Elephas maximus indicus: one gene and its partners. The protein of the gene in region 3 purifies or fractionates together with the protein of the main gene of each other region. This does not show direct contact. Links are inferred from orthologs where the notes say so. Each region holds a gene or a part of one and is shown on either strand. Other genes may lie near its edges. The genes, in order: TOP2A, DROSHA and SRPK1.

Region 1 (7,529 bases), on a different chromosome or scaffold from region 3:
TTAAAATATGAAATTTTTAAATGTTAGCATAAACAAAGGGAAATGATTTATTCCAAATGGAAAAAAAAAAAAAGACAAAAGTTGGAAACAATATTATTTTACTGATTTTAAGAGGATCACCTGTACTCTAGTTCCTTTAGCGTTCTCACTGTTATGGATTGAACTGTGTTGTGTCCCCCTCAAATCCTAACCTCTATGCCTGTGGTTATAATCCCACCTGGGAATGGGTTGTCTTTGTATGTTAATGAGACAGGATTAGTATAACGTAACTTGACTCAATCTCTTTTGAGATATTAAGAGATCAAACAAGCAAGCTAGAGAAGCAGAGATGGTGGAAGATTGATGCTCCAAAGAACCAGGAAACAAGCTAAATGGACAAGAACCTTCCCCAAGAGCTGACAGAGAGAAAGCCTATGCCTAGAGCCTGTGCTCTGAATTGGGACTTCTAACCTCCTAAACTGTGAGAAAATAAATTTGTTTGTTAAAGCCATCCATTTGTGGTATTCCTATTATAGCAGCACTACATATCTAAGACATACACCCAAAAAGTCACAGTGCAAAACAAATATAAAAGGGAAAAACATTATCAATCATAAATGAGACTTCTTACCAATAAAATGCTGAAAAGTTGGACTTACTATTATTTTAGGTTAACTCTCAGAAGACAGGATATATTTTCGTTATAACTGGCACACACTATGATTCTTATTTTAAATAAGACATAATATTACCTATAAGAGACCAAAACTAGCTCAATTAACATTTTCTGAAAGACAATCATCAGGTTCCTGGGAGTATCCAAGTACTTCATCATTAACACTTACAAAAAGAGCCTAAGGTGTAGTTTACTTCACAAGTGACCAGGCTAATAAAAAGGTAAAACAAGTACCCTGACCACCCACTAAGGGACACCCAGCATTTATACCTATTCTCTACCACCATCTGCTGGTTCATTATTTGAATAGCATCATGAAGAAAAGTTAAAACTCTAGGCTTCAGAATACTTAGAGAAATTATTTACTGGAGATGCTTGCTAAAGTATTTAGGGCTGAAGTGTCATGATATCTGCAATTTATTTTGAAATGATTCAAAAAATATATATATAGATGGAGTAAATATGACAAAATGTCAATAACTGTTGGATCTAGGTGGTGGGTACTGTAGGTGTTCATTTTAATGTTCTGATTTTTTTTGCAAAGTTTTTATTTAAAAAAAAAAGCCAACTTCACTAGCAGCCAAAGTAAATGCAACTAGGAATAACACTAACAATTTGATATAACAAAAGACTAAGCAAAAAGACATACGGGTCAATTGTGACTCTGATACAAGACATTTTTGGGTCCCTTTGCTTGTTGTCCGCAGCATTGACTGAAAGACAATAAAATACACATTTGTAAGAAAAGTATTTTTTGAAAACATTCTTTAACATGTAGAAAAAATTTCCCAAATAGCACAGGAGTAGCATTAACAAGGTGTTAATTTAGCAATTTTTGTCCACAGTACTGTTTCTAGAAAAGAATTCAATTTCCTGGGCTCCAGGAGACGGCCCCATTTTTTCCAACTATTCAAAATCACAGGAGCTCTGGAACAAAGGGTTTGATAGGAATGATACCTGTGAAAGATCTGACTTATAAATCTTTAGGTGAAAAAATTTACTCACCTAGAATCTCATCAAAGATTTTGTATAAACCAGGAACAAAAGTGACTTCCCTGTAGTTAATGCCAATATCTTCATCGTAAACCCACATTTGCTAGAAATAAGGCAAAAAAATATATAGTTATTTTTATTCTTTATTCTGCTTTACCATCATGATTACCATAGCCTTCTGGATTAACACTACAATAGATGTATGACCGCTAAGGCCAGTTCCAGTGACAAACTACGTGAGATATAGAAAGTTAATCTGCGAAAGAACACATTTTAACGACTAAATAACTGCTTTTCATTAGCTTGATTTTACCTGGGTCACTAATTCCACAGAGCCAATGTAGGTGTCCGGGCGGAGCAAAATATGTTCCAATTGCGTTTTCTTTTGATAGATTCTTTCGATAGACAGTCTTTTCTTAGCATCTTCATTTTTCTTTATTTTGTTGATTTGCATATTTTCATTCACAGGCTAGCAATTTCAAACAATGGGAGAAAAGGAATTTTTAATCATTGATTTATCAGAAACTATGAACAAAAAATCTCCATCATAACGATACACTTAAACCCACTATAACAAATTGCAAACTTCTAGCAGGCATTGGTGGAGTTCAGTTTTGTACCAAAACGGCCATTACAGTTAACTGCAGCCAGCGTCAATTTCAATAAACATACGTATTATCTCACCAGGTGCATCTGAAGGGAAACATTTTCCTTGAACACTGCCTTAGGTCATCACTAAAATCCACCCACTTCGTTCAGCTACACAAATATTTACTGAGTTCCCCTCCCACCGTGTCGGGTCTGCCGGCTCCTCGGATGGGGAACCCCGTGCCATCCTCAGCATCTTCCCAGATCAGCGACATTCAACCCCATTTTCCACAGAGGGGAGAGAGGAAAGCATGGATGCGCTACTTGACGCCACACGCAGACCACTAGAGTACAGATCTACCACAGACCGAAATGAATGCGGTCCCTAGAAGCAGTCTAAAACACAACACTCCCCCCGGAAGCCCGTTTAGCCGGTAGTACTTCAATACTAGCACTACAAAGGGGGCTCGCCCTACTCACCATCACCCAGAGCCCAGGGAGTGGGGCTCCACAGGGAATATGGGCTCCCTACCCTTCAGGGAGCTCTAATGGAGAGCCGGGGCTCTCCGCCCGCCGCGGGGCCGCACCGCGGCCCAGAAGCCCTCACCCCTCACGGGTCGCCAGAGATGCCCGAACCGCGCTGAGGCTCCACGACCGGGCCCCTCCGCGAGCTGTACCTGCAGTGGTGACACCTCCATGGTGACGATCGTGAAGGGGCTCGAGAACCCTGGAAGCGACTAAACCGGCGGAAGCCACGAGACGACCGGGAACCACCAGATCACTTCTCCACAGATCCGCGTCGGTTAGGAGAGCGCACCTTGCCCCATTTGAACCTTCCTTTAGCCCGCCCAAATCGGATAAGCCAGTCCCTGACTCTCTCTCTCCGGCTCTGTCGAGAACAACCAATCGTCACTGGTCTTTCATATTCACCTATGAACGGCGGAGTTGTTTGAGGGCCTGTTCGAATGAACCAATTAGACAAGGGAGGCGGGACTAGAGGGTTTCAAAAAGGCACCACTCCAAGTCGTTATCGGAGAGACAGACAGGGAATCTGGTCAATGAGGAGAAGTCATTTTTTCCTCTCGGCGCGGAAAACTCCGTAGAGACGAGGTGTGGAAGGTGGAAGGCGTTTTTTGAGGTTCCGGCTCAGAGCGAAAAGAAAGGAGAACGTGAAGGCTGTTTATTTTCTGGGAATCACTAACCTATTCAGAGCCCCTAAATCTAAAAACCGTCCAGAGATTGTTAGCGAGAGAAATAGGGATTTTAGCACCATTTTCCTGAGGAAACTAAGCGCGGGGTTTCAGGACAGGCAGTCCAGTGGTTTGGTTAAGCGAACAAGTTCTGGAGCCTGCCTCAACCTCCCCTCCCCCCAGGAATTTAATTGCAAAGAAACGAGTGTGCTATCCTTGTGGCTTTTAGTTTCCCTAACAGAAGATTGTAAAGAGGCCATGCAAAATAGAGGACAGCCTTCAAGTCCCCCACTAGTGCAGCGCCGGACTGCAACCGATAAATAAGAAGATTGGAATAAATCACCGCCAGTCTCGCAGAGATATGTTTTAAATTTAGGGGTCGTTCTGGAACTGAAATCTTTTCCTTAGACTGCCAGTAGGATGCCCTAGTACTTGTTACTTTTGCTGTCCTCAGAATTCAATTCTGCAGTGCAGAGCTGGCGTTCAAATTTGACTAGGAAATGCCAAATTGATAACGAATTCTGACTTATAAATTAAATGGTTGGATTTATACTTTCTTCGTCAATCCAGAGTTAAAAAAGAACCCCCCCCCCATTGTTTTTGCCCTTACAAGTTGTTAGAAAAAAATACCGCACAATTAGGATGATTACTAATTACATCTGAGCCAACTCCTTCCGATTATTTCTCCCTTAGTAATAATCTGCAATTTGCCAGTCGTGTGATGATGGAGGAAGCTTGCCGGTCCTTCAGTTTCCTTTGCTAAAAAGGGGAATAATATTACCTCAGAGTTGTGTGAAGATTACATGAGATAAATGTGAGGCGTTTAGAATAGTAGACTAACAACATCAAAATGAGAAGCAGGAATTATCCTTAGGCTGGCATGACAATTTGTGGATTTAATTCTTTTTTTTTTTCATTGTAAAAGAAACCAGAGGCCGACCATTGTTAAACAAAGCCAGCATCCAATGTTTACTCTGCTGGCAAAGCCCAAGGAGGAGGGACACTTCGGGGGGTGGGGGTGGGGGTGGGGAGCAATGTGTTAGGAAGCGAAGGATAGAAGTAGCCCACAGGGCTAGGATGATTGAGAAAGCCAGAAGTAGCCCACAGGGCTAGGATGATTGAGAAAGCCAAGGAATGGAGCTGTGGAGTTCCTCTAATCCTATTTTTTTTTCCTGACCTCTAATGGGTCCCTGGAGGCACAGTGGTTAGAGTGCTCAGCTGTTAACTGAGAGGTTGGTGGTTCAAGCCTACCAGCCACTCCACAGGAGAAAGATGTGGCACTCTGCTTCCACTAAGATTTAGTCTTGGAAACCCTATGGGGGGGCGGTTCTACTCTATCCTCTGGGGTCACTATGAGTTGGAATCAACTTGGTGGCAATGGGTTTGTTGTTGTTTTTGCCTGACTTCTAGGAGTTTCTACTTTCAGCTCTGTGTTGATCTGGGAAGACAACCTTGCTGCACAGGGACCACCAGAATTTCAGAGCAGTTGTAGAGAAGCCCATCCAGTAGCTTCTGCCCAGAAAGCTGGCCAGACCCTGGCTCAGGGGCAGAGTGCCACTCTTTGCAGTTTCTCTAGGACTCAGGATGGCCCGGCCGGTCAGAGACCAGCCATGCTGCCTTCTGACTCCTGGAACACAGAGGCCCCAAGAGGGTGGGGGTGGACGGTCATGTAGGAGAATAAGGAGGGAGAAGTTACCGTGCTTCCCCAAGGATGGCAGTCTAGCCTCTGCCACTCCTGGCCTCTACATTGTAGCTCATGCCATCTGTGGCTGAGGCAACAGTTCTACCCTTTTTTCTGGGGTACAGTTTAAAGTCTCCCCTGAAGCCTAATCTGATACTGACTGTGTGAGTTTCAGTTCCAGAAACCCAGAAACAGAACTGTGGAGCCAAAATGACTTTGGAGTAAAGTCCTGTGTCAGAATTTTCCCTGAATCTCAGTTTCCCCATGTCATTATCAAAGGTACAGATGGCTGAATGAGATAGAGAAACACTTAGGATAACCCTCCTCCCTCCTGCTAGCCCAGGATGGTCTTGCTTTGGACACTTTCTCCCCCAGTCCCTCTTCTTCTTTCTGGGCCCAAGCTGTTTCTCTGCCAGCCCTGTCTCCTTCCCAGAACTTACTGCAGAGGGTCTTGCAGGATTTGGCAGCAGCATTTGAAGAAGGAGATAGAAGTCTGGGAAGAGTGGGCTTGGGAAGCATTGCCCACAAAGAGGCAATTCCAGGTACCTGTCAGCTGCTGGCCCTGAGAGGCAAAAAAGGAGGGGGAGTCAGTTCCAGGAGGCCATGGTGGGGGTAGGGGGCAGAAGAGCCTTTACTTAAGACTCCTGGGGGCCAGAGGAGGGAGCTAGCCTGCAAAGGAAGAGGGTGGGAATGGGACTGAGGGGTGAGCTCTCCATCCCATTTTTCCTCATTGCCCCAAAGTCAGAGACAGCCCAAGGGAGACCAGGCCTTCTCTGAACATACTAAGAGGGCACCTTCCCCAACACCTTTTCTTTCTTTCAGTTCCCCAATCTCAGATCTTCTGCCATTAGTGGGATGGGAGGCCAAGACTAACCGGGTCCAGGATGGGAGCTGAGAGTGAGGTGGGGGTAGGGTGGGTGAGGCACTCTTACATTGACATGTCTCATCTGAGCTCCGCAGAGAGGTGGGAGCCAGGCTAAGTCCATCCTCTGGAAGCAGAGACAGGGCAGTCATGGGGTACCTCTGTAGACACCCTCCTACTTCTGCCACCTGGGAGCTACCTGGAGCTAGAAGGTGTCGGGTTGGTGGTACTGGAGGTACTAGGGGTAGCAGAAAGCAGAGAACGGAGTATCCCCTTCTGTCAGAGCACTTTGAAAGAGATGGAGCATGTGAAGGAATGAGGAGAATGGCAGGGTATGCCACTGGCTTAAGTCTTGAGCAAACAGAAGAGAGAAGAGAGTATGGGGAGGCATCTGGAATTATTTATCCAGAGAGAAGAAAGACATTTTCATAGGATTCACTGACATATAAGAAGAGACACATTCAAGATCACATAATTCTGGGTATATTAGGTGTTGTACTACTCACACTGCCTCCTCAAAGCCAAGAGTGGGAGGTGAGATTAGCAAGGCATATTTGGGGATGTTGTTTTGGGGGGGAAAAGGAGGTGGAAGAGAAAGAGGGAGGAATGGCCATAAAGTAGGCGAGCAATGGCCTGGGGACACTGGCCTCTTCTGCCCTCACAGAGACCTACCTCAGTGTAGATCACCTTTTTATTTTGGCTGGGGGCTCCAGGAAGCCCCTCCAAGCCTCTCTCACCAGGCAAGCCTGAGACACAAGCAGGGGTAGGGTGGGGTGTGAGGTGGGGTAGAATAGAGGCTCAGTGAACCAACAAGTATTACTGTGCATCTATTATGCACCAGTCTGAGACCACACAGGGAGTTGTAGGGCATAGTGTCTTACATGTGAGCAGCGTTTGTTGTGGGAAGGGCATAGGGAAGGATGAGGGGGCATGGCTAAAGAAAAGGAGGAAGGGAGAGACTGAAGGAGTAAAGGAAAGGAAAGGTGCATCTGTCAATGTCTAGTAACCTTGGTGGCATAGTGGTTAAGTGCTACAGCTGCTAACCAAAAGGTCGGCCGTTCAAATCCTTGGAAACCCTATGGGGCAGTTCTACTCTGTCCTATTGGGTCGCTATGACTATGAGTTGGAATCAACTTGATGGTAACAGGTTTGGTTTTTAGTAACTCACCTTCTAGTTGTGGCGACGGGTGACCTAGAGAAAGGATGGCTACAAAGCTCAATGATAAGTGAGAGGTCCCCAAAAAGAGTTAAAAAAGAGTGTAGAGGGAGGTCTCAGGAGGGCTCGAAATAGGGAACTGGAGGGCAGAGGAGAGGGCTGGCAGGGTGGGAGGCCTCTTCTTCCCTGTGGATTTGGCTGGCCTCATTGTCCTGGAGGAGACTCTGACCCAGGAGGCCCCACTGGTTCCTGAATTCCAGGGATCCCTGAGAGCTCACCTGGGCCTGGCAGCCTTGGAGGGACAGGGTAGCCCTGGAGTCCAGGAAGGCCTGATGTTTCTGGGGTTCCTGGGAACCTTTCAATCCCTGGGTATCCAGGGTTGTCTTGAGAGCCCTTCATGGCCA
Region 2 (7,646 bases), on a different chromosome or scaffold from region 3:
GTTAATTATTTTTAAATTCCTATTTTTTTTCTCCTTCGTAAGTATTTTTTGAATTCATTCATTTCACACCACCATCTCTTATCTGGCTACTACAATAACATCTTTGCTGGCCTTTCCACAACTACCATCAATGCCCTCAAGGCCTTCCCTGCTCTCAAGATACTCTACTTCTTCTCGGAATTCCTACAATAATGGAATCTACCAACTAATTATGTAATTCTATCTTTAAAGTCAGGCTGCACCTCAGGACTGCAAGTCCTGTCAGGGCAGGGATCCAGGATATCTCATTAACTGGTCTGGTTGGGTTCCTAGCCATGTACATGGCCCATTGCTGAAAGAATGAACACATTTCCCTTGCTCCGCACATGTTCAAATCCATTCAACCTACTATGGCTCAGCTCCGGCGTTTGCTCCTCTCTGCATTCTTTCAAGCTACTGCCATTACTCACCATGTATTGCCTTGCATCATGATGTACTGCCTGGATATTCACATCTTCCACAGTGATATAAACTCTAAGGGACAAAAAGAATAAAACACACATATAAGTGTGCTACAAACTGCCACCGTCACTCATCTGTCAGCTTGTTGTACCGTAGTGGCTTGCATGTTGCTGTGATGCTGGAAGCTATGCCACCAGTGTTTCAAATACCAGCAGGGTCACCCATGGTGGACAAGTTTCAGCAGAACTTCCAAACTAAGAAAGATAGGAAGAAGGATCTTACAATCTACTTCTGAAAAGACTGGCCAGTAAAAACCTTATGAACAGTAGCGGAACACTGTCTGATACAATGCCAGAAGATGAACCCCTGAGGTTGGAAGGCACACAAAACACAACTGGGGAAGAGCTGCCACTCAAAGTAGAATCGCCCTTAATGACAGGGATGGGAGTAAAACTTCTGGGACCTTCATTTGCCGATGTGGCATATCTCAAAATGAGAAGAAACAGCTGCAAATATCCAATAATAATCAGAATGTGGAATTTACAAAGTATGAATCTAAGAAAATTGTAAGTCATCAAAAATTAATTGGAACACACAAAGATCAATATCATAGGCATTCCTGAGCTGAAATTGACTGATATTGGCCATTTTGATCTGAACAATCATATGCATTACCATGCCAGGAATGACAACTTGAAGAAGAATAGTGTCCCATTTATCATCAAACAGAATATTTCAAGATGTACCCTAAAGTACAACGCTGTCAGTGATAGGAAGATATCCACATGCCTACAAGGAAGATCAGTTAATACGACTATTATTCAAATTTACACACCAACCACTAAGGCCAGAGATGAAGAAATTGAAGATTTTTACCAACTTTTGCAGTCTGAAATTGATCAAACATGCAATCAAGATACACTGATAATTACAGGTGACTGGAATGTCAAAGTTGGACAATAAGAATTGGTAGTTGGAAAACATAGCCTAGGTGATAGAAACAACACCAGAGATCACATGATAGAATTTTTTAAGACCAACAACTTTATTGCAAGTACCTTTTTTAAACAACATAAACAGCAACTATACTGGAGCTTGCTGGGTGGAATGCAGAGGAATCAACTCAACTACATCTATGGAAAGAGACGATGGAAAAGCTCAATATCATGAGTCAGAAGAAGGCGGAACACATCAATTGCTCATTTACAAATAGAAGTTGAAGCTGAAGAAAATTAAAACAAGTCCATGAGAGCCAAAATATGACCTGCGGTATATCCCACCTGAATTTAGAGACCATGTCCAGAGTAGATTTGACACACTGAACACTAATGACCGAAGACCAGACGAATTGTGGGATGACAAGGACCTCGAACATGAAGAAAACAAAAGGTTATTAAAAAGACAGGAAAGAAAGAAAAGACCAAAATGGATGTTAAAAGAGACTCTGAAACTGAAGAAATGATGACATAAAAGAGCTGAACAGGTTTCAAAGGGCAGCTGGAAACACAAAATAAAGTATAATGAAATACCCAAAGACCTGGAGTTAGAAAACCAAAAAGAAAGAACATGATTGGCATTTCTCAAGCTGAAAGAACTGAAGAAAAATTCAAGTCTCGAGTTGCAGTACTGAAGGATTCTAGCGAAAAAATGAACAACACAGGAAGTATCAAAAGAAAATAGAAGGAATACAAGTCACTGTACCAAAAGGAAATGTTCAACCATTTCGGGAGGTAGCACATGATCAAGAACTAACAGTACCGAAGGAAAAGGTCCAAACTGCACTGAAGGCACTGGCAAAAAACATGGCTCCAGGAATTAACTGAGATGTTTGAACAAACCGATGCAGCACTGGAGGTGCAGACATTCTTTACTGTTGTTGTTAGGTGCAGTCAAGTCGGTTCCGAATCATAGCGACTGTATGTACAACAGAACGAAACACTGTCCAGTCCTGTGCAAATGTTAACTCAAAAGTCAAGGAATTCCCTGCAAGTGGAAAAGTCAATATTTTCTGCATCTGCCTACTCTTGGGTTGCTGTTCGCAAGCAGAGAACTGAGGGAGGTGTTTTGAATAGTTAACACGTCTAAGAACATCACTCTAGATTAAAAAAAAAAAAAATTGCAAAGGGTGACTATATTTTCTTAAGAAATTTCTGTTTCCCAGCTGAACCATCAGGCTGGTCATTTTCACCCCGCTGCTCGGTAACTCGAGTTTCCCTGTTTGCAATCTCCCGCCAGACTGGGAACCCCAAGAGGCAAAGCGCGGGGCTCAAGTCCCGCTCCCCGCCAAGACCCGGGCGACCCCAGGCCTGGCCCACAGCCTGCGGTCCATAAATGAATGAAAGCTCTCATAGTTCACTTCCATTCATATGTGAGATCCGGGCCTCGGGTTGCTTTGTGGCCCTCACTACACACCTAAAGAGGTGCTGCCAGACCCCAACTTCCAGGCGCCTTTCTTCCCCAGCCGGGGACTCCGGCCCCGTTTTAATCTGGACACTCAGAAACACGCCCTCTTCCAACACCCACACGGCGCCCCTTTTACCTACAAAAGGCTCTCGGGCCGCAGGGTCGCCGTCTGATAAATGCCACTGTTACACTGCAGCCGCCAAGGCGGTGTGGCCGCCGCGCCTCCGGAACAGGAAACCGACGGAATTAAATACCAACCCTGAGCAAGCTGGGCCAAGGGAGGGAAACTCTTCTGCTCGCCGCAACGCTCGGGCGCGGTGATTGGTGCGTCAGCAAGAGCAATGGCCATTTCAGCCAATCGCCCAAGTCCGTCCCTCCGGCGCCCGCCCTCCCTCCTCTCTGTCCTCCAATCCGGAACCGCAACCGGGTGAGCGCGCGTTTCCGCCGGAGACGGCGGCAGCGGTCGCGGCTCGGGCTTTCCCAGGTCCTCGCCCAGCGGCACTGGCCCCCGGGAACCCTGACGCCGCGAGAACATGAGTGACTCCGCGGGAGAATGCGTTCGCCTCCGGCGCTACTCCGAGCTCCCGGTGTGGGTGGTGGAGGATCATCAGGAGGTGAGCGGGCGGCCGCCGCGCGCTTGGGGACAGGACCGCCCGTGCACTGGAGCTCTGGGGACAAGTGCAAGGCAGAGCCTTAGCACTGAAGGTGGAGAGATGACCTTCGGGTTCTGTGGCTGTGGGGAAAGACACTAAAGCAGCTGACTTGAAAGAATAGGAGTTGGCGTTTATCACGGGCTCCCACAGCCAAACACTGGTGTCCCCGGGATTCGAACCCTGACAGCCTGATTGCAGAGCCTGGTGTTCTCATCCTGCACATTAACGCTGGCTTCTGGGGAACTCCCTCCGGCTTCTCCATCCCGGTCCTGCTGTTTAGGGGAGGCGCTATGCCAAGGACGTGGGTCTCAGTCTAACGTGTTGAATCAATGCGATGGTCCAAACCCTGTGCATACATTCATCATCTGTGAAACAGGGACGATAATCGTACCATTCCTGGGGCTATTAGGAGTATTATCGTATGCATATTGTGTACATACATCTCTTGATACGGTGCGTGGCGTATATAAACACAAAAAATGGTAACTTTTATGGCTTTGCTACTTTAGCTAAAATAGTGCCTTAATCTGGATTCCTGGAAGCCTAATAAAGTGGCGATGGATCTAAGATATGTTTCCAAGGTCAGCATTAATAGGCTTTGGGGGTTCTCTGGACATGAAAGGTTATCTGGATTTGTGGATGGAGGAGTTAGAGACGAGGAAGGAATTTGGATTTCTCAGGACCAAGACATAGTGTCTAGGAGCCTAAGAGAGAAACTGGGTTAGGCTGTACTTTCAACTTCCGTTTTCAACCTAGAACTACAGAAAATGTAAAAGGAGAAAGAACCTGACAGACCACCTAGCCCCTCCTCACCATCCTAAAGGAACGGAAAAAACAGGGTAGCTTGAACACAGTTAATGTCAGAACTCAGAATTAACTAGCAGTTTGTTCCTGAGCCCCAGTCCTGGTCTGTCTCCCCACATTACCTGTTGAACTTGAGGTGGTGGCTAGATGGCAGCTAGAGCTGTTCGTCAAGCCTTTGGAGGCATAAGCTGAAAGTTCTCAGGAAAAAATAAGCCTTGAGATAGTTTCCCCAATCATCTATAGTAAACTAATTTTGTATTTCCCCATTTATTAACAGCTCGTTTGCTGTTAGCAAACTATGCAGTTATGTTTAGCATTATTTTCAATTTGCAGTTGAATATGTGCTCATGATTTCAGTGCCAATTCTGAATATATGCGTGTGTGTCTTTACAGGTTCTGCCTTTTATATACCGTGCCATTGGTTCAAAGCATCTTCCTGCCAGTAATATATGTTTTGTACATTTTGACTCCCATCCAGACCTCCTTATTCCTGTGAATATGCCTGCAGACACTGTGTTTGACAAGGAAACACTCTTTGGGTAATATGTGATGTTTGTTAATGACCTTTTATGCACTTCAAATATAACCGACCTGATAAGTGGTGATTTTAGCTGCCATTGATGTGGCCTCCGACTCATGATGACCCTATGCACAACAGAACAAAATGCTGCCTGATCCTCTGCGATCCCCAGAATCAAACCATTGTGATCTGTAGGGTTTTCATTGGCTGATTTTCAGAAGTAGATCACCAGGCCTTTCTTCCTAGTGTGTCTCAGCCTGAAAGCTCCACTGAAACCTGTTCAACATCGTAGCAACACGTAAGCTTCCACCATGGATAGATGGATGATGACTGTGCACGAGGCGCATTGGCTGGGAATCGAACCTAGGTTTCCCGCACATAAGGCAAGAATTAAGGAAAATAGACTTTGCTGAGCTCCTGGATTTTGTTTTTGTTGTACTTGCCTTTTTGGTTTTATTTAGAACAGTGTGAGCAGACTTTTCTTAAAGAGGCAAATAGTAAATATTTTAGGCTTGCTAGCCATGTAGTCTCTGTTGCAGCTGTTTATCTCTGCCCTCGTAATGCAAAAGCCGCCAAAGACACTTTAAACAAATGACTGTGGCTGTAATTCAGTACAACTTTATTTACAAAAACAGGTAGCCCAGCCAAAGTTTGCCGACCCTTGATTTAGAATATATAATTTTAGAAGTAGACATTATCTGAGCCAGTTCTCCCTCCCTTTTAAAAGTCAGGATACCAAGGTACAAGAAAGCATATCTTATCTAAACGCATAGTTCAATAATTGTATAAGCAACACGTTTTTTAATTTTTTATACTCTTCCTCCCAGGATTGAGCCCTTTCTACTTCTCAGTTTGTTTTTCAGGTTACAGATCCTTTTGACATTCAGTTATATAGAACCATAGAGATGGACGTAAACTTCGTAGTTTGCACTCCATTCTTCAGGAAGGATCACACCTAAAAACTACTTACTAGCCTCGCTTCTGTAAATAAAGTTCCCTGAGATTCTGTCAGCATCTTTCATGTATATAATTATAGAAAGTAATCTGCTTATATAATATAAAAAGTAGCAGTAATGTTGCAGTGTTATAAAATTAAAAGATAAATGCTTGAGTGAGTTAATTTTGCTACTGCTATATTTCTTTTAGTTGACTTCCCAAAACTCCAATTTGGAGTGTAATTCCTAAAGAAATTTAGCTATACCCATTGTCATTGCTTTCTTATATGTTTGGAGGTTTTACATTTTAGAAATTCAAGGAAGAATTCTGAGGCAGGTACGCAGAACTGTATGCTTAGTCTTAGAATAATGGTTCTTAAACTTTTGGGCCTTAGGACCCTTTTACACCCTTAAAAATTATTGAGCTCTTTAAATAGAGGTTTTATCAGTATTTACCATATTTCAAATTAAAACTTAGAAAATGTTAAAGCATTAATTCATATCAAAATAACAATAATAAACCCACTGCATGTTAACACATATATATTTTCATGAAAAATAAAGATATTTTCTAGAACCAAAAAATTTAATGAGAAGACTGGCATTGTTTACATTTTTGAAGATCTCTTTAATGTCTGCCTTTATAGAAGACAGCTGGATTTTCATGGACTTCCACATTAAATCTGTTGCCTAAGTTGTTAGGGTACGAGTATATGAGGAAAATTTAGACTCTCACAGATGGTGTGACTAGAAAGAGTATTTTCATACCCTTTTTGGTAATTGTGAATATTCTTCGGCGCTACACCAAACTTAACAAGCAGTAGTTTCTTAAAGGTTACTTGGAATGTAGACTCCAACAACCGAGACTCGAGTCTAAATAACCATAATTGTCAGTCAGTTCTTTCAAGAAAAAATGATGTTTAGCTCACAAGTCAATCACACAAGTGCTTTTCCTTGAGGCAGCCATTGTACTTCAAGGTATGTAGCAGAAGTGCTTTATGTGCCCTTCCAGTTTTGCCACACAGAATACTTAAAAGTTTATACTTCAAGGATCAAGATTTCATAAAATCATCAAGAACACTCTTAAGAAAAACTGGCTGTTTTGTTGTTGTAAGTGTTTAGTAGGGAAGAATATGATGGCTGCTGGCAGACTTTGGTGCCACCGCCTTGGTCAATCTTAAGATAGTAACCCACCATTGCTTTTGCACCATCAATGTAAACATCAATACAGTGCAAAGGGCAAATGATAGTATCATGAAAGTAGTTTTGACCTAGTGGACGCTCTGAAAAGGTCTCAGGGGACCTCTCTCCCCAACCCCCAAGCATTCTCAGACACACTTTAATACCTGTTACCTTAAAATATTTTCATAGAGAAAATTTTTTTTTTTAAAGTACACATTATTAGTTTTAATGTTTCTTTCTATTTCATTTTCAGAGAATTAAGTATTGAGAATTGGATCATGCCTGCAGTTTATGCCGGCCATTTTTCTCATGTAATATGGCTTCACCCCACATGGGCTCAGCAAATTAAAGAGGGCAAACATCACTTTTTAGTAGGCAAAGACACGTCCACCACAACAATCAGGTAATTTTCTCATTTTTATGAGTATTAGATTGGTTGAATGCTTTTATTTTATTTTGGATCCCTACAATTACCTCCAAAGTGTCTCTCCATGCAATTGGGATCAGAATAAGCCTCAACTCCTCCAAAAAGTTCTCGAAACACCAGAAACAGTCCCTGGAGCACCTTCGTACACCGCTTGTATTTTGTTGCTGGTCAAGTTAGTTTTTTAATAACATGATCTTCATTTTCTGGAATTCTGATTCCATTGATGACTAACTCCATTAGATCATTGATGTTATATATTCAGTGATATATTTTGCTTTTTC
Region 3 (7,379 bases):
ACCCTACCTTGATATGGCCTTATTAACACAACAAAGAAAAACCTATTCCCCAAATGGGATTACATCCACAGGTATACCAATTGCCCTTGCCATCTAGTTGATTCATGCTCATAGCGACCCTATAGGACAGAGTTGAATCACCCCATAGGGTTTCCAAGGCTGTAATCTTCATGGAAGTGGACTGCTATGTCTTTCTCCCATGAAGTGACTGGTGGGATTTTAAGCGCTGACCGGCTTGGAGCCGAGTGCTTTAACCACTGCACCACCAGCGATCCTTCTTCACAGATATAGGGGTTAGGATTTACAAGACGTATTTTTTGGGGGACACAATTCAGTCTATAACAGCTGGGTATTTATTTCCCTGCTGGGCCATGGTTATGTCCCTTTATCAAAGGGCACAGCTGCTGTCAAGCAGCCGTTTCTTAAAGCTACACCTCTCACTGGGTTCTGGTAAAGGGTCCCCTCGATCCCCTTGTTGTTTTAGTCTTAGGGGTGGTAAAGACTCCCAGCTGTTGTTTGTCCCCAGATGCCTCACCTTCCCTTGTTGGTTCCCCTTAACACTATCCACACCTCTGTGCATACTGGTAGTCCCTTCATTAAACTCTCTTCAATTATCCTTTGTGTGTGCCATGCGTTTCCTGATACTCAAGAACAGAATGTTATTATATTTTCCTAATATACTTCACCAAGCATACGGCACCTAAGAACAACAACAATATACTTCATATAACTATCCCACATGACGACAGGATAGAGTTCCGTTGGTGTTCTCCAATTTTGCAAACATCTACTTTTTTTTTTTTTTTTTTTTACTGGGAATCTTATTTTATTTGAAATAAAGCACCTGATTAATCTTTGACTGTCTTCTGTTGTCCATTTCATCCTGAAAAACGTAGGGGAAGCCAAAAGGGAAGCGCTACTTTGGATTTGGATCAATACTTTGGACAAAGTATAAGTTTGTGATAAGCAAGGCAGGGAATGTTGCGTAATGAAACGTGTCCTAAACTTCAGAAAATCAGATTTCAAAAATTCCAAAGAAGAATTAAGGAAGCTCCTAGGACAGTCTTAAAAAGTAAGTTAAGTTCAAGAAGAATGGGATCTTTTCAGACATTAAATTCTGACAATGACAGTGAGTAGCCAAAAATACAACTGCTCATGCTCTCTGAATAATTCCACATTTAAAAGGACTCGCAGAAAAGCATTTGGGGGAGAGGGAGTGTGCCAGTAGCTGAGACTGATGGCCACCACCTTTAAGAAGGGTAAAATTCTGGAAAGGTAAAACCCAGAAGTGATTTTTAAAACTACATTTTAAAGCAAGAAGCACAAAGGAATGGATGGTTTTACAGTAGGAGGGGAAAAACTTGCTTATGCGAACAATTGAAGAGATCTTAGAAAGTGTGGAGAGCTGGAAGTATGCTAAGAGGATGAAGATAAGCAGGAAAAAAAAAAAGACAAAAAAATGATCAATTCTTGGAACTCAGTCCATCGAACTTTACATTTATTCTGGAAAAATTCTCAAGTGAGTTATTAAACAGATGGTTTGTAAGCTTTTAGAGAGAGAAGTAATAGTCACTCAGAATCAGAACAGGTATGACCGGATCCCGCCGTAACCCACCTGGATTTTAGCACGGCTCTCAGGTTGTGTCTCTCTCTCTTGTCTTGATCTTTCTCATAAACTACAGATCTGAATTCCCCAATATTTGCTAGGTGTTTCCACACGGATGCTTTGGAGAAAATTTTCATTTATTCTTTGATTAGACAAATATTTGGGCTAATAAGTACCAGACACTGTACTAGGCGCTGGGAATATACCAAGGCAAAAACAGAGCTCCTATCCTCATGAAGTTTACATTCTGGTGGGTAGTGCTTTCCTGATTTGGGACTTTTCCTCAGTCACCAGCTCTCTCCTGTCTTTTCTGAGCCACATGTAGTTTTCCTGGGTTATCAGAGTCCTCAGGCTCCAGGGCTTCACCTTCTGTCCTTACTCTCCTTTTTTTTTTTTTTTTTAATTGTGCTTTAAGTGGAAGTTTACAAATCAAATCAGTGTCTCATACAAACATTTATATCCACCTTGCTATATACTCCCAGTTGCTCTCCCCCTAATGAGACAGTACACTACCTCTCCCCACTCTCTATTTTCGTGTCCATTTGGCTAGCTTCTGTCCCCCTCTGCCCTCTTACCTCCCCTCCAGACAGGAGCTACCCACATAGTCTCATGTGTCTACTTGATCCGAGAAGCTCACTCTTCACCAGTATAATTTTCTATCCCATAGTCCAGTCCAATCCCTGTCTGAAGCGCCCTTACTCTTCTTTTGTCCTCAGTTTAGGATGATGAGGAGATGGGGCTGCAGTGTTCCTTGGTCAACAGGTACTATAAAAAATCAAGCACAAATCAAGTGTGCAGGCTTGGGTGGGACTTACTGAAAAAAATAAGTAATTTAGTCCAGCCAGGGAGGAGGCAGCTTTTGAGCTGGGTCTTGGGAATATGCCCAGAAATGCTATCATGCAGGTTCTATGCAACAGATATTAATTATCTAAGTTTCAAATTTGGCAGATGTATTGTCCAGCCTCACCTTCCAATTTAGCCCTTTAGTCATTACATGCTACAGGCCCTGCCCACAAGCTTCCAAGTCTATCTTTTTGCTCAATCGATTTTCTCAGCCAGTAATGTCTGACATGTCCTTTTCCAGCTATGGAAACCTGACACATTTCCCAAGACCCAGCTCAAAAACTGCCTCCCCCCGGCTGGACTGAATTACTTATTTTGCTTAGTAAGTGCTGCCCAAGCCCCCACACTTGATTTGTGCTGTACTGTGGTCTGTGGAGCAGATCTACTCTGTCCTATAGGGTCGCTATGAGTTGGAATTGACTGGAAAGCAATGAGTTTGGAGCCCTGGTGGCCCAGTGGTTAAGAGCTACTGCTAACCAAAAGGTTGGCAGTTCAAATCCACCAGCTGCTCCTTGGAAACCCTATGGGGCAGTTCTGCTCTGTTCTGTAGGGTTGCTATCAGTCAGAATCCACTTGGCAGCAATGGGTTTTTGGTATAGCACTTAGTTTCAACTTCCTTTCTCACAGTCAATTGATTTGTCTATCTTTCCTCATTAGAGTCTAACTTCTTTTAGGTCAAGGGTCTTCATGCACCTGCATGTAATACTTCACAATAAGTGTTGACAAATTAAGGACTAGAGCTAAGAATGGTTGAAAAAAAGATCAAAGGAAGGATAACATTTCCTATGATGTGAAAATTACATGAAATTCCTATTTCAGTACCCATAAATAAAGCCAGCCTATATTTTCTACGACAGCTTTTGAGTTCCAGTGGTAGAGTTGGGTAGTTGAGAAAGAGGTCTCATGGTGTGCAAAACCTAAACGTTTACTATATGATCCTTTACAGAAAAACTTTGTGATCTGCTTTACAATAAGGGTTTGATGACTGAGTCATTTGGTCAGGATACCGAGATTATAAGTCTTAGTTTCTTTGTGTAGTGGCAGTATTAAGTATCTTGCCTTACAAGTTGTCATGAACATCAAATAAGATAATGCATTTGAGACAGTATAAAACTATAAATGAAAGACAAGTCTGTTTACAATGTACTGAAAAGACAGAAAGTGGTAAAATGAGAAAACATTAAACGTTTTTGTTCTGCCATCGCTTTCTTTCCTTTTACAGCCTTCATTTAAACTTTAAAAATTTAAGAAAAAATTCACTTTTTAAGTTTCCGTTCTTTAGGTTACAATAGGTCACAGGTAACTTCCTTTCAGTCTTTCTTTTGTGTTCCCACTTCCTGTTCTTTCTCACATGTAATTCCCTCCCCCGCCCCCATTTTCTTTAAATAGTATCTCAACTGGCCCCTACAATAGGTCAGCGAAAGAACTGGGACACGTCTGATTAATTCCATTTTACACACCAGGAAACTGAGGCACACCCCAGTTGACTGCGGAGCTCTGACTCAGCACGCAGGGAATCCTCAAGGCCGCGCTCCTCTGCGCCTTTCCTAACCCCTCTCGGCAAACGAACCGGACCCGGCCGAGCTTTCAAGCCTAGGTGGCAAACACCTCTTTAGCGCTCAAACCCGGAGCTCCCTTTTCCCTTCCTCCTCCCACTCCCGACTGCCCCCCCTTTCTCAGGAGCAGGTGGTAGAATCCACGCTCAATACGCAGGCGCGTGGCGACGTGAGGCGGGGACGGGGCGGGGACGGGGGCGGGGACTGGGGGCGGGGTGGGCGCGGGCTCGATTTTGGGCCGCGGCGGGAGCCGGAGTCGCCGCCGCTCGAGTGCGCAGGCGCCTGGCGGTTACCGGTCTCGCCATGGAGCGGAAAGGTGAGCAGTGGAGCGGCCTTCGCCACGAGGGGCAACGGCCTCCAGGGCGAGGCCCGGGTCAGAGCCCGCAGCTGCGCCTAACCGCCGTGGTTGAGTCCCCGGGCGTGCGGCGCCCCTCCACTGAGGTGGCGACGCCCCTCACCCCCCGCTGCTGGGCTGCCGGTCCGCGCCCCCCAACCGGGGCGTCCGCCCGCGCCGGCCGTCATCGCCCCTTGTTCCCCGCCAGGCCGGCCGGAGCCTTGTGGTCACCGCGGGGCCCGGCCCTCGGCGGGCGAGGCAGACCCAAGCCTGCCGGCCCCCTTAACCGGCCCAAGCCCCCTCCGGCGCCTTCCGCCTGGTCGCTGCTCTGCGCCCCGTGGGCCGCCCGCCCCCCGGCCGACCGCCTCGCTGAAGCCGCGGCTCTCGCCCCGGAGCCGTCCCCGAGGCAGGCCCCGCAGCCGGGCCTGGCAGCCCTGCTAGGTCTCCACCCTCACCTTGGTCGCCTCCTTCCCTCCACATTCGCCCTTCATCAATCCCTCTCTCCTGCAGTGCTTGCGCTCCAGGCCCGAAAGAAAAGGACCAAGGCCAAGAAGGACAAAGCCCAAAGGAAGTGAGTCTTGTACCCCAACAACCCATTCTTTGGATTGCCTCCGGCATCTCCTGTCTAGTTTCCTATCTTGAACCTGCGCCGGGTTTGGGCACCCTGCGGCCCTAGCCACATGGCCTCGGAGCGGCCTTGGAGGGTCGCTCTCCGGTGTGGAAAGGAGCTTGTCTTTCTGAACAGCAGGCCTGGGTCTGGCCTGAGCAGCCCAAGGCCTGCAGGACAGGCCACTGGAGGGAGCAGAGCCCTCCTGGGACACAACTCCAGAGAGGAAGGCACAACCTCCTGTAGCTTGGGCCTCCCACCTGGAACTGGTAGATCATTATTAGGCTATTTGTGGACTCTGGACTGTTTTCAGTACCTGCTTCCCAGCGTCTTAACTTGCCTCCAACGTCAGCACAGTAGGCCGTCAGGAAATTCTTGAATGAATTTTCCATGTTTACTTTTGGTTCTGCCAACCACACGCTCCCTTTCATAGAGGGCATGAAGCTTTCTCCTGGCTAGTCAACTTCCTGAGCCTGCAAGGCGCATCTCGGTCCTTGCGGTGTGCAGGCAGACCACTTTGTGTACACAGGTAGCATCTGTTCTCTCTGAACCTCACACGGAATGCAGATACCCTCTGGAGGGGCCCTCACATAGTGATGGGAAGGCTCTTGAGCTAACTGACACTGTAGGTGATTCTGGTTTGGTGTATTAAGTGCCACATGTCCAGTTTTATCCGCAGGATGCGTCACAGTGGTTTAGCGCTATTGTGGGAAACACAAAGTTGGTCACAGCCTACTAGAAGCACCCGATAGAGGGCTTCTGCAAGTCAGGCTTAGTCTGAAGAACTTTTACGTGTACTAATATTTCATTGGAAAAGGTCTTGGAAACCAGCTTTTAGATAACTTGTATTCTCCATCTAATTCTTAGTTGTAGCTGCATTATGTTCTTGACACTTTGCCATTTACTCGATGTCTTGTGACTTTCTTTGCATTTCTGGTTTTTAGGTAGTCTGATTCTTTCTGTGCTGATCAAACACATTTCAAAGGCCTTCCTAGGTTACCCTACTGAATGACAATACCAGACCGTGTGTGTGTGTGTGTACATAATGACTTATTTTTCAGTAGTGCTAAAATGTAGGTGATCTCACCTCTTGCTCCATTCGTTATCTGTCTTAGGAAATTTTTTATTTTGCAATGCACTTGTTGACCAGGGCATTTAAGCATGAGTTTATATATATGTGAATATATTTACCACTCGATTATCCATATATGCATTGTTCACAATCAGTGGTTAATCCTAGATCGGTTTAATGAGAAGAGTAAGGACTTAACCCAATTCTAGTGTGCAGTGGAAATTTAGATAAGTTGCTCTTTTTTTCCATGCTTTAGTTTTGCTGTTCTTTGTGGGTCTGATAGGAACGTATTATAAAAAGTTTTGTTTTCTACTTGTGTAGAGAGGTTGTGATTTTATTATTCACTGTTATTTAGAAGTTATCTGTCCTGGACTCTCTTACTACTAGGGAATTAATCTTTATTTTAGCCTAAATCAGACTATAATTAGGGAGGTAAATGTACATAGATGATCATAAACTTTATTTTTAACACCAGACTTTCATTACTTTGGATTATCTATTTAGATCATATACTTTATTTTTAAAGCCAAATAGATGAATTTTGGATTATCTGTTACTTCTTCATTCACGAGCATCAGTAACCTACTGTTATTTGTGTTCTTAATTATTTCCATACTTGCACAAAAGGAAGGGACTAGTACAGATAATCTAGTAGTCATTTTACTGAATATTTCATCTTGCACAAGTTTGACTCCTGAAAGTATATGTGAATAAACTGCCCCGTTGACTTGTAATTAGTTGTTTTTAATTTGTTTTCAAGTAGTAGTTTTCTTTATAATTTTGACTTTTTTTTCTCCAGCCTCCATTTAAGTAGCTGAAATTATTAATTAACTTGGTTAGAGTGCTATAAAGTCAGAAGTTCAAGTCCCACCAGGCTTATGTAACTTGACTCTGTTCCATGCACTCCTGATGACTTCCAGTCATTTTACAAATGAAAGCTGCTGGTTACCAGCGATTAGTCAGGGAGAGGGTCTGGGGAAGGAACATGCCATAAAGTTTGGTCTTTGGAGTGAGACCTGTCTAAATCTTGAACTCTGGTTTTGCCACTTTTTAGCAGTCTGACCTTGGACAAGTCACTTAAGGAAACAGTCTCACATATTATAACTGGTAGCTTAGTTATAATGAAAATTGATGAGGACCTAAAGATACAAAAAGCAAGCATTTAAATGAAGAATTTTGGAAGTAAAATAAAACCTGTAAGAGCCAAATTCCATGGGACTGCCTTGTTTTCTGGGTATTACAAGTTTTCCAACTTTGACTGGGCACAGTCTTACCACTTTTCTGTTGCTCATTTTAGTGGAAAATATTTGAGTTTTACTTCTCTGACAGGTTTCCGCCTTACGTAGGTTCCGGCTTTTGCG

What was found.
Region 1: the proteins of SRPK1 (region 3) and TOP2A fractionate together in Homo sapiens (co-fractionation; 3 studies listed by BioGRID and IntAct, with this or other methods). This does not show direct contact. The link is inferred for Elephas maximus indicus from reciprocal best matches to the Homo sapiens genes SRPK1 and TOP2A.
Region 2: the proteins of SRPK1 (region 3) and DROSHA purify together in Homo sapiens (affinity purification with mass spectrometry; 3 studies listed by BioGRID and IntAct, counting the BioPlex papers as one, with this or other methods). This does not show direct contact. The link is inferred for Elephas maximus indicus from reciprocal best matches to the Homo sapiens genes SRPK1 and DROSHA.

The regions. Positions count from the first base shown.
Region 1 is NC_064837.1:47,551,325-47,558,853, forward strand, and holds the start of TOP2A (DNA topoisomerase 2-alpha), read right to left. Parts: upstream 3,049-7,529; 5' UTR 2,935-3,048; coding exon 2,914-2,934; intron 2,118-2,913; coding exon 1,962-2,117; intron 1,752-1,961; coding exon 1,661-1,751; intron 1,369-1,660; coding exon 1,305-1,368; intron 1-1,304. UniProt on the Homo sapiens protein: Key decatenating enzyme that alters DNA topology by binding to two double-stranded DNA molecules, generating a double-stranded break in one of the strands, passing the intact strand through the broken strand, and religating the broken strand.
Region 2 is NC_064820.1:36,627,632-36,635,277, forward strand, and holds the start of DROSHA (ribonuclease 3), read right to left. Parts: upstream 3,061-7,646; 5' UTR 2,985-3,060; exon of another isoform or gene 2,981-2,984; intron 514-2,980; 5' UTR 470-513; coding exon 450-469; intron 1-449. Other genes in the region: C2H5orf22 (UPF0489 protein C5orf22 homolog), read left to right, coding at 3,378-3,458, 4,695-4,840, 7,192-7,341. UniProt on the Homo sapiens protein: Ribonuclease III double-stranded (ds) RNA-specific endoribonuclease that is involved in the initial step of microRNA (miRNA) biogenesis.
Region 3 is NC_064819.1:99,573,667-99,581,045, reverse strand, and holds the start of SRPK1 (SRSF protein kinase 1), read left to right. Parts: upstream 1-4,293; 5' UTR 4,294-4,308; coding exon 4,309-4,910; intron 4,911-7,379. UniProt on the Homo sapiens protein: Serine/arginine-rich protein-specific kinase which specifically phosphorylates its substrates at serine residues located in regions rich in arginine/serine dipeptides, known as RS domains and is involved in the phosphorylation of SR splicing factors and the regulation of splicing.